Oryctolagus cuniculus: one gene and its partners. Each later gene encodes a partner of the first gene's protein in a complex. Links are inferred from orthologs where the notes say so. Each region holds a gene or a part of one and is shown in the gene's direction. Other genes may lie near its edges.

Region 1 (3,650 bases):
TTATCTCTCACACAAAGTGCTTATTAGGAAACCCTTAAATATTTATTTGTGAAGTTTAAAAACAAAATGATTGTTGAGATGTAATTTAAGAGCAAATCACAATATACTTGTATTTGAGAATGTTGAAGTAGGACAAAACTTGTTCTTTGGCCAAAATTCAGTAAAACTAGAAGGGCAGTAAATATTTGATGGTTGACTGAACAAATTAATGGGTAGGTAACAAAAATAAAAATTATAGGGCCAGTGTTGTGGCATAGCAGGTGAAGCCACCACCTGCAACACTGGCATCCCATATGGGCACCACTTCTAGTCCCGGATACTCCACTTCAATCCAATTCCTTGCTAATGCTCGTGGAGAAGCAGTGGAAGATGGCCCAAGACCTTGGGTCCCTGTACCAATGTGGAAGACCTGGATGGAGTTCCAGGCTCCTGGCATCAGCCTGGTCCAGCCCTGGGCCATTGTGGTCATTTGAAGAGTGAATCAGCAGATGGAAGATCTGTCTCTCCAGCCCTCCCTCTCTCTAGTCTGCCTTTCAAGTAAATAGATGAATCTTTTAAAAAATTTATAAAACCAACTTATTATATCAAAGAGAAAAAATACAATTACATTGTACCTAGAAAATCAGATCTATATAATTGGGATATAGCCAAAACTGAATTTATTAGAAAATCATTGTCTTGAATAACTCAGAAGAAATAAAAATAAATTAAATATTAATGCTATATTAAAAATGAAACAAATTTATGGAAATTGAAAGAAACACAATAAAGTAATACTGATTTTGATGTATTAAAGGAAAAAATTATAAGAGCCGGTTATTTCTGAGAAAACAAAAAAATAATACACTAAACTAATTAAATCAAGGAAGATAAGATAATACAAAAATATATAAAAATCAGGAATTTGGAAAGCTAGTAAACCCAGAGTAACTCTTGGGGCATCTCCTTGGCAATAAATATGAAAGCCAAAACAAATTAAGAAAATTACCAGAGAGCTCCTTGAAAAATGCTTGAGTCTCACATTATTTCGTGGGTAAATTCCTGTTAGCTTTTAAGAGGATCTGCTATTGAAATTGTTCCAGTTCATAAATAAAGAAGAAACATTTCCAGTTCCTTTTTTTAAGATTTTATTTATTTATTTGAGAGGTAGAATTATAGACAGAGAAAGGGAGAAATATTGGCATTAGCTCATGGAGTTAAATATCTTAAGACACATGAATTATTAATAGGAATGGAAATTGGTATAACTTTTCCGGAATGCAAACTGACAGTGTATATCAAAGTTACCATGACAACTTACCCATTAGTTTTACTTCTAGGAAATTGTATTGAATTTATTATTACTTTTTATTTATTTGAGAGGTAGAGTTACAGAGAGAGAGAAAGGTCTTCCATCCACTGGCCACAATGGCCAGAGTTCAGGAGCCAGGAGCTTCTTTCAGGTGTCACACGTAGGTGCAGGGGCCATCTTCTACTACTTTCCCAGATCATAGCAGAGAGCTTAAGCAGAAGAGGAGCAGCAGGACTAGAACTGGTGCCCATATGGGATGCTGGCTTTAGTCTACTATGCCACAGTGCGAGCCCCTTAAATATATTATTAATCAAATATGCAAGGATCAGTTACAAGGATGTTCATTGCATTATTTGTGGTAGTAAAAAAAAAATGATAACCTACATCCCAATCAATAGGGATCGGCTAAATAATGATCCATCCTTAACACTGTGCAGCTTATTTAAGAGGATGCTGAAAAACAAGTTAAGTGCTTTAAAGACATAACAAAACAGGTTGCAAAATAGTGTTTAAATTTTTTTTATCATATAAGTTTCAAATCTGACTAAAAATACTGTACTTAACTAGGCAAGAGAAGGAGTCTATCTGTGTAAAATTGTGAAGCAGCTTTTAACATGATTGGAATTTATAGTAGGGAAACTACCCTAGTTACTCAGGGACAATTGAGAAAAGATAACACTTCATTAAGTCTAAAAGCACCATCATTGGTGCCAAATAATTCCATCATAAGCTTACATCACTAATAAAGAATAAACATGTTGGCAGTTAGGGGTGGGCTTTGTGGCCCTGTGGGTTAAACCACAGCTTGGGGTGCCTGCATCCCATATTGGAGTGCCAATTCAAGTCCTAGCTGCTCTGGTTTCAATCCAGCTTCCTACTAAGGTACCTGGGAAGGAGCACATTATGGCCTCAGTGCTTGGGTTTCTGTCACCCGCTGGAGACTGGGATGGAATTCTTGGCTTCTGGCTTTGACCTGCCCTACCCTTCTGTTGTAGCCATTTGGGGAGTGAATGAATAGATGGAAGATCTCTCTCACTCTCTCTCTCTGCCACTCTGCTTTATATTAAATAAATAAATAAAATTTTCTATAAAAACATGCTGCCAAGTAAATGATAAAGCATAACTGATCGTAAGATACATCTTGATATCAGAGACTTAGAATCAATGAAATACAAAACAGAGAGGAGGAAGAAGGAAAAGATTTGTGTGGAATTTTTTTCTGGACAAATTTGCATTATTAATAAGATATTTATTTAATTTGAAAGACAAGTTGCTCTCCTGTCTGCTGGCCTACTTCCCAAATATCTACAATAGCTGGGGCTGAGCCTGGCTGAAGCCAAGAGTCAGAAACCCAAGCTGGATATCCCACACAGGTGGTGGTGACCCAGCAATCATCCATCACTGCTGCTTACCAGGAAGCTGGAATTAGGAGTGGAGATGGGATTGAAACCCAGGCTCTCTGATAATGGGATGCTGGTGTCCCAACCAGCAGCTTAACCAGTTGTCCAAATGCCCACCCCAATAATTCTTACTGGTAATTCACATTTTAAGAAATATGAGAGATATTATCTTTTGAGGTTACTCCATCTCTTTGTACCTCTTAAAGTAACAAGGTGCTTTTTTTGGTGTGTTTTCTGTGATTTTGCTTTACATGTCTTCTTTAATATCTCTACTTCTTCCTAGTTTGCAGTGGATTTTGGATAAACAAGATCTGTTGAAGGAGCGCCAAAAGGACTTAAAATTTCTCTCAGAAGAAGAATATTGGAAATTACAAATATTTTTTACAAATGGTAAACATTATTTTAATTGGTTGAAATTGTGTAGGTAGTTACCCCTGAATGAGAATGTTTTTGTAAGGTAATTTCATGGTTATGGTCCATACTTAAATTTTTTATTTGTACATAAATCTTTTTATGACTTATATTCATCTTTTTAGTGATTTAAATGAAGTGTCTTGTGCATCTTACATGTCAGAGGCACTCGAGGCAATTTAAAATGTTAACTGATCTCCTAGGCCTCAGTAATGGATTATTACTGTTTTCAAAAAGTTTTAAAATTTTATTTTCATTTTTATTTGAGAGATGCAGACAGGCAGACAGATCTTTCATCTGTTGGTTCACTCCCCAGATGCATGCAACAACCAGGTCTAGGCCAGGCTGAAACCTGGAGCTCACAACTCAGTCCAGATCTCCTATGTGGGTGGCAGGAAGCTATGTACTCAATCCATCATCTACTGCTGCCCAGGGTGCTTCATCAGCATGAAACTAAATTAGAAGTGAGGAGCTGGGACCTGAATCAGGCATGTGGGCATCCCAAGCGGTGTCTTAACTTTGCATAGGCCCACTCCCTATCATTCGTT
Region 2 (3,750 bases), on another chromosome or scaffold:
TGAGCCCCTATTCCAGGGGATGGCCCGGTTCACTGCCCTGCCTTTACATGTAGGAGCCCGAGTATGGACTGGAAATGGCAGATGTTCTGCTCCCAGTAGTAGACACAATTGGGCCATCGCTGGCCTGCTGGAAGACCCCTTTGTCCTGCTGGGTAAATCACTGACTGCAAGGCAGGGTCAAAAAGCAACAGACACCCCCCCCCCACACACACACACACACTGTCCAGGGGAGGGCACGGCCTCCCACCCTCCTCTGGAGCCTCTCCCAGGCCTCTCCTCTCCCAGCTGCAGCGCGTCTCCAACTGGGCACCACTGACACGTTAGGCCCCGTGATTCTGTGGTTTTGGTGCTGGGATCCCTGGCCTCTACCCACGACTTGCCAGCAGCACTCCTTGTACCTAACACAAACGTCTTTAAACATCGCCAAGTATCCCCTGGGGGACAAAATCCTCCCCCCCCCCTCCAGGATGAGAACAACTGTTCTGCAGCCCACACGGAAGGCAGAAGGTATTTTAAAAATGCGGTTGCATCATGTCAGTCCTGTGCCGAAAACTATGCAGCGTGTTCCTGTTAGACTAGAACCTGAGTTCCCGTGGTGACTCAAAGGCCCTCTAGAAACTGGTCCTGCCTGTTGCCGTCCCCTCTCTGCCTCTCACACACGAAGCTCCCAGCTCTCCCTTCTTCTCTCGGGGAACGTTGCAAGCTTGCTCCCACACACCCTTCGCACTTCTCTTCCTCCGGCCTAGGGTGCACTCCGCTGAGACCCCCGGGTGGGGGTGGGGCGCTCGGTGTCACCACACAGGTCTCAGCTCCACTGTGGCCTAACCAGCAAGGCCTTCCCCGTCCATCCCTCTATACCACCACTCTCCGCCTCTTTGCCCGTCAGCCCCGCGTGCGGGCTTTGTCACGCGTGGGGAGGCCCAGGGCGCGGCTCGCGCAGGAACCCAGGAACCGCGGCTGGGCTGTTTCTCACACCGACATGTGGGCTGCCTCCAGGAAGCCAAAGGCGACTGGGGGACCCGGCTGGACACAGTAGGCAGCCTCGCCTCCAGCCGCTTTGACGAGGCCCTGAGCACTCGGGAGGGCACGAGGGCGCCGCTTCCTGGAAGGCGAGGTGTCCACACTGGGGTGAGGACGGCTTTCCCCCAAGGGCCGAGGCCATTCTATAGGTGTTGAGGGGACCGCTCAGCACACCTCTACGCTACGTCACGAGGTGAGAAATGACGTCACAGTAGCGACCTGCCTCCTAGGCGGCAATGCCACTACACGCTGACGTGAAACACCTCCAAATACGGCGCTCCCCGGGCCGCAGCGCCCGGCTCAGGAGCCCGAGCGGGCGGAGCCAGCAGCGATGGGCGGAACCGCTGTCCTCCCAGCGCGGCTGGGCCCGCCCCCGTATCCCACAGTGCCCCGGGGCCGGAAGCGGGGTGCTGAGGCTTCCGGAACTTCCCCAGCCAGACTGGGCAGAGTCTCTGCCGAGCTGGTGAGAGTTCGCGTCGTTCCTTGTTATGGCCGCCGCCGTCGCCATGGAGACAGGTGAGTCGCGCTCTGAGCCGTGCGCTCCGCCCGGACCCCTTCTCCTGCCTGCCCGGGGCCTCCTTCAGGCCTAACGGAAGGGGCTTGGAGTGGGACCCGGGAGGCGAGAGGGCTCTTGGAGCATCTGGGAAGGTGCCGGCAGCTTTGCCTTTTTCAGAGTTTGGTGGCTTCGCACATGTTTTCTCCCCGCTTGCTGTTCACTCAGCGACCCCACCTTCGTCCCAGCGTGGGTGAGACTGAGGGACAGCACTGGAATCTTTTCTTTAAAAAAAAAACAAAAACTAGTATAAAGAGAACAGATTGCATAGGTACAGTTCCAGGAGACCCATACTTCCCTCTCTCCTCCTCCCCCCACTCGCGTTCCCTCCCCTACTTTTCATTTTTTTTGTTGCCAAGGCATAAATTTGATACAGTCTATAATAACGGCTTATTTCACCACGAACCGTAATATAGAGCCAGTCAAAAGTAGGAAGACCACCAGGAGCATAAACAGGGGCTGAAAGTGACAGTCGTGTCACCAGACAGCACTTGGGTCTGCTTCCGCGGGAGCTTGCATGAGTTTGGGGCGCCCTGGACCAACTTGCGTTATCCTGCCACTGATGCTGCCATTCGGGGTCTTCCGGCGCTCCGCAGTCTCCTAGCTCGCACTCGGAGCTCCTCACCGCCATCGACAGTAGCTACAGTGTATTAATAAAATACAGGGAGGTAGACTGTCACCCCATACCCGGTCACTCACTGCTGAGATGGCTCCAGTGACCCACCGAGGGAGGTCTCCTGCCGCATCTGTGTTCCCCTTGTCTCTGATGACTTCTCTTCAACGTTAGAGGGGTTTCTAGCTGCCTTAATCAGAGTTCTCCTTTTCTTAGGTTCCTAAGGAATTATGCCTCCCAGAAGTGTAGCTCAGCATTACGCAGGTTTCCTGGCTGCTGTTTCCTTTCGACCCATCGGTGTTGTATTTAGCGACCTTTGTCTTGGATGATTTTTGCTGTCTTCTCTCCTAGATGATGCTGGAAATCGACTTCGGTTTCAGTTAGAGTTGGAATTTGTACAGTGTTTAGCCAACCCAAATTACCTTAATTGTAAGTTGTTCACCTAATTAAATTGAATAGCTATTAATGATTTTTTGACAAGAGTTGCATTTCCTAATAGTATCTACTTTTATATATTCTCAATTGAATAGAATTGCACTTAAAGCAATTCTGTAGCTGTAACTGAGCAAACTAGGACTTGTGGGCTGGTGGTAGTCCAAGCATCCGTCTGACCTAGGTTTTGTTTTTTTTTTTATGCCTTTCAGTTCTTGCTCAAAGAGGTTACTTCAAAGACAAAGCGTTTGTTAATTATCTTAAGTACTTGCTGTACTGGAAAGAACCAGAATATGCCAAGTATCTAAAGTAAGTTTAATTTTTTGTAATCCTCGGTGTATGTATGTTTTACTAAAACCCAAAACGTGGATACGTAAATACTTCTTAGTTTCACACTGGTAAAAATGTATGTTGAATCTGCACGTTCTGCGCGTTCGGTTGTCACTGCCTACCTCTTAATTTGGATTCCTGCAGAAATCACTCACTGTTGGCTCTGTTTTCTGCTCTTTCCTCACTACCTCACCCAAAGCCAATAAAGCAACGCGATTTTCTACCCAGAAGCCGATGTGGTCCCTGGGAACTGTAGCTTAGAACATGCTGTCTGTTCCTTAGACCTGGGGGGCCCTCCCTTCCTGGCAGTGAAGTCTGCGGCCCGGCCGCATCTGGCCCAGTCTTCTTGACCTCCTCTCTACCAGTCTCCCCATTTCTCTGGGTTTCTGGTCTGAAGGACTCTGGTCCTCACATGCAGCAACATAGCCATTGACTGATAATAAAAGATCACACAGAAGTACCTGTGAGGAAGATGTGGAGGATGTCACTGTGTCTTCCAGCAGCGATCTTTGTGCCCAAATGCTTTGCATTCAATAACTAAAAAACACTGCACACTCACAACTGTTTCCGTACACATGCCGGTCCTTCAAAAAGTAAATGGAAAATGGATCCAAAAGACGAGTTTGTATTGGTGCAAAAAACTTTTGGAGTCCATGTGTAAGGGATTTCCAGAAGTTCTTGAAAAATTGTGTAATATGAAATAACCAAGTATAGACTACAAGCTTTTTATATCCAAATAAGCTTTTAATTCAGGTTTTTCCACAAACTTTTTGAACTACGTGTATGTGTGTTTGCCATTCAA
Region 3 (3,750 bases), on another chromosome or scaffold:
ACCAGGAGAAGCACCTGGCTCCTGCCTTCGGATCAGTGCGGTGCGCCGGCCGCAGCGCGCCAGCCGTGGCGGCCTTTAGAGGGTGAACCAACGGCAAAACGAAGACCTTTCTCTCTGTCTCTCTCTCTCACTATCCACGCTGCCTGTCAAAAAAATAAATAAATAAAAATAAAGAGTTAAAAAAAAACACCATGGAAGCAACCCAAACTTCCATTATTGGATGAACAGATAAGCAGAAGGTGGTATAGACAAGTAATGGAATATCAAGCAACTTCAAAAAGGGAACTCTGACACTTGCTACAGCATGGATGAAATTTGAGGACATTTTGCTAAGTGAAATAAGCCAGTGACAAAACAGACAAATAATGTATGATTCCACTCACACAAAGAAGCCGAACTCACAGAAACCAGAAGGATGCTGCTTTCTAGGGACTCCCTGGGGCGTGGGGAGGAATGAAGCTAGATTTGTTTTATGAGGTGTGAATGTTGCAGGCATGCCAATCTCAACTTTTATTCCAAGTTTTTGTCCCTGCAGAGGTAAGAATTCAAAACAGAGCAATACATACAGAGCACGAGGGAGAAGACGATTTATTGAAAGAGTGAATATACATTCTCGTGTGAGTGTGGGCATCCCTGCATGGAGAGATGCTTGTCATGAGTGGGCCAGAGTTGCCTAGGAGGAGAGAGAGGGCAAGGAGACCAGAGAAGGACCGTAAGTATGCTCCTGAAGCCAAAAAAGCAAAAAAGGAGTGTTTCCACATTTATCAGTCCCTTTTGTGAGGTACTGGGTGGTGCTCTGATAAGTATGCAAACAGCATGGAGTTCAGTGTGAGGCAGTTTCATGGTGCCTTGGCTAGCAACTTACCTTCCACGTGGTCATTATGGTTCCCTTCCTTCCTGATCCCTGATGAGGCAGGTGCATCATGGGAAAGGGGGCACACTGGGTTGACAGGTAAGGGGGAGGAGTTGCCATGCAGGGTTATGCAGAAATTCTGAGAAACTATTCCAGCTCAACTCTTTCTACCTAATCTTCATGCCTAGTTCCCCCATCATTAAAAAGAGTTTTCTAGATGCACAATAGTGTGAACATATTTAACGTCACTGAACTACACACTGAAATAGCTAAAACCGTGACTTTTACGTTTTGTGTATTTTGCTACAATGAAAAAAAATAGGATCACAAATGGTTTTGGTTCCTGTGCTGAAAAGCTTACTGCAGCTTCCAAGAGCCATGCAACAGGAAGGTTAGAACAGCATCATGGGAATGCAGACTGCAGAGACAATCCTGGGGAGACACCAGTCGAGTTTATGAAGAAACGGACATAACAGGTAGGCAAGTAGGTAACTCCCTGAAATGCTCAAAAACCGTTTGGGAGAAGCCTTCCATTGCTGCTTGAAAAACCAGAAGGCCCAGAAGAATCGGACTGAATCGCCCCCTCCAGTCTCACTCCTTGGGCGCTCCCTGGGTATGTAATGGAGAAGCCCGGCTGGTCCAGCAGATGGCGCTAACGCCCATAGTGCGCCTCCAGTCGCCTAGGCGGCGCTCTGGCGGTACCGCTCTTCCCTACGTCTCGGTGACCCTTCCTTCCGCTTCCCGAGCCCGCCTCTTCTCCCACTAGCGCGGAGGTGCGCCTGCGCTGGTTCCTGGCCCTGGGGAGCATGGCGGCGTCTTCGAGTGGTGAGAAGGAGAAGGAACGGCTGGGAGGCAGCTCTGGAGCGGCAGGCGGTAACAGCACGAGAGAGCGGTTGTTATCTGCGCTTGAAGATCTGGAGGTCTTGTCGAGGTAATGGCGCCGGCCTGAGAGCCTGGCTGGGGCTGGGCTGGGGGACTGGCCCCGGAGCCCGCCGCCGCCGGCCCTCTGCGCTCATTCCTGGGTCTCGGCGGGGAGGCCTGAGCTTGGGAGTCCCCGGTGCTTGAGTGTTAAGGATATGGGGTCTGCAGATCTCTGGGACTCTGGGCAACACTTTTTTCTTTGCCGTCAGAGAGAATTTTAGTCATGACAGCCACCCTGGAAGTCCAAGACGGCAAGAGCCAGAGCGAACCTTAAGAGGTCTCGCGTTGGGAGACTGGCACTAATGGGCTGCCCCTTGGGCGCCAAGCACTAGGAGACTGTCGTGAAGGGGAGGCTGGGTGCCGACGCGGAGGAGCCCGGGGTCAGGGAGAGACAGGTGGGTAAACAGTGCTGGTGCGGGGCTCGTTCTTGTCCGAGCAGTGCGTTGCGGGCCCGGGAGTGTAGTCAGGGCAGGCTTTGGTTGGAAAGAATGAATTCATCGGACTCAGCAGGTGGCAGGGAGGTGACATAGTGTGTGCAAACCTTGGAAGTCGGAGGCCCCAGGCCCTGGCGGAGTTGTAAGGTGCTGGGGATGGCCGCAGAGCAGCATGGGAGACGGGATGGGATCTTGTTCTGCAGGCTCTCAGTTTTCACGGTCGTCTTTCAAGTCGGGGCCTTCCTGTCTTCTGTGGTTAACCTGGATCTAAGTTGTGTTGTTTTTGCAGCCTGCCAAAAGTTTCTACTTTCTTTTGTACTTGATATACTTTGTCATTTTATACTGCTGAGCACCATCGTTATTTTAAAAAGCATCTCGCATCATTCTTCTTAAAAAATACTCGATAGCCCGTATAAGCAGAGTCAGGCCCAGTGTCGGGTTTCTGTCAAGGAAAGACCAGATATATGATTATGCTGTGGTGGTCCCTTAGGATTATAATGGAGCTGAAAAATGCCTGCAGCCTCGTGGCCTTGTTGCCCTCTGTGCTCGTGTTTGTGGTGACGCTGGTGTGAATGGGCCCACCTGCTGCCGGGGGCGTGAAAGTGTAGCACATACAGTTACACACAGCCCCTCATTCCTTTTCTTTAAGGTTACTTATTTGAAAGGCAGAGTTACAGAGAGAGGGAGAGAACGGGAGCGAGCTTTTCCATCCACTGGTTCACTCCCCAGATGGCTGCAAAGACCAGGGCTAGGCCAGGCCAAAGCATGGAGCCTGGAACTCTGCCGGGGTCTCCTGCCTGGGTGGCAGGAACACAGTACTTGGGCTGTCTTTCGCTGCTCTCTCGGCACATTAGCAGGAAACTAGATAGGAGGGGTATCTGGGACTTGAACCCGGAGCTCATATGGGATGCCAGTGGTGGCTTCACTGGCTATGCCATGATGCCAGCCCCCGTCCATAATTCTTGATAATAAATGACTGTTACTGATTTATGTATTTACTGTGCAATACTTTTCATTGTTATTTAGAGTTTATTCCTCCTATTACTTAAAATTTAACTGTTAAGCAAAGTGCCACATTCTGCTGGGAGCAGCCTCCTATACCTTGTTTTTGCTGGGAACTGTTGATTGCGTCAGGCCACAGCAGGTGGCCGCTCCTGTCTGGGTTTGTGTAAGTACAGTCACCTCACCGTGCATTTGAGGGATGCCTGACTACTTCCCATGTCACCGCCAGCTGTACTTCGTCAGTGCCATTCCTACTCTATCTCTAGCTGGCTGAATGATTGAGTTGTCTTTCAGCATCTGTCTCAAATGTCACCATTTCCGTAGCCAGCATTCTGTGACAGCAAATGCCGATCTGCTTACACTCAAGATCAGTACTTTGTCTTTGCTGTGAATTTAGCCCTTGCTGTACCATTACTTACCAATGTTAAGTACAACATTTAGTGATGTAATGAAAACCTAAAAACACGCAGACAACAGAAGGTAAATGGCTTATAAGCTTCATCCACTGTTTACATTGTAGTAGGATCACAAACAGGGCAC

Evidence for each region. The genes of interacting proteins can lie anywhere in the genome.
Region 2: CCNC (region 1) and MED31 share a complex: the UniProt entries of both Homo sapiens proteins name them as parts of the mediator complex. The link is inferred for Oryctolagus cuniculus from reciprocal best matches to the Homo sapiens genes CCNC and MED31.
Region 3: CCNC (region 1) and MED4 share a complex: the UniProt entries of both Homo sapiens proteins name them as parts of the mediator complex. The link is inferred for Oryctolagus cuniculus from reciprocal best matches to the Homo sapiens genes CCNC and MED4.

The regions. Positions count from the first base shown.
Region 1 is NC_091436.1:72,160,931-72,164,580, forward strand, and holds part of CCNC (cyclin-C), read left to right. Parts: intron 1-2,974; coding exon 2,975-3,081; intron 3,082-3,650. UniProt on the Homo sapiens protein: Component of the Mediator complex, a coactivator involved in regulated gene transcription of nearly all RNA polymerase II-dependent genes.
Region 2 is NC_091448.1:49,926,689-49,930,438, forward strand, and holds the start of MED31 (mediator of RNA polymerase II transcription subunit 31), read left to right. Parts: upstream 1-1,279; 5' UTR 1,280-1,508; coding exon 1,509-1,536; intron 1,537-2,537; coding exon 2,538-2,615; intron 2,616-2,830; coding exon 2,831-2,927; intron 2,928-3,750. UniProt on the Homo sapiens protein: Component of the Mediator complex, a coactivator involved in the regulated transcription of nearly all RNA polymerase II-dependent genes.
Region 3 is NC_091440.1:67,126,291-67,130,040, reverse strand, and holds the start of MED4 (mediator of RNA polymerase II transcription subunit 4), read left to right. Parts: upstream 1-1,578; 5' UTR 1,579-1,659; coding exon 1,660-1,784; intron 1,785-3,750. UniProt on the Homo sapiens protein: Component of the Mediator complex, a coactivator involved in the regulated transcription of nearly all RNA polymerase II-dependent genes.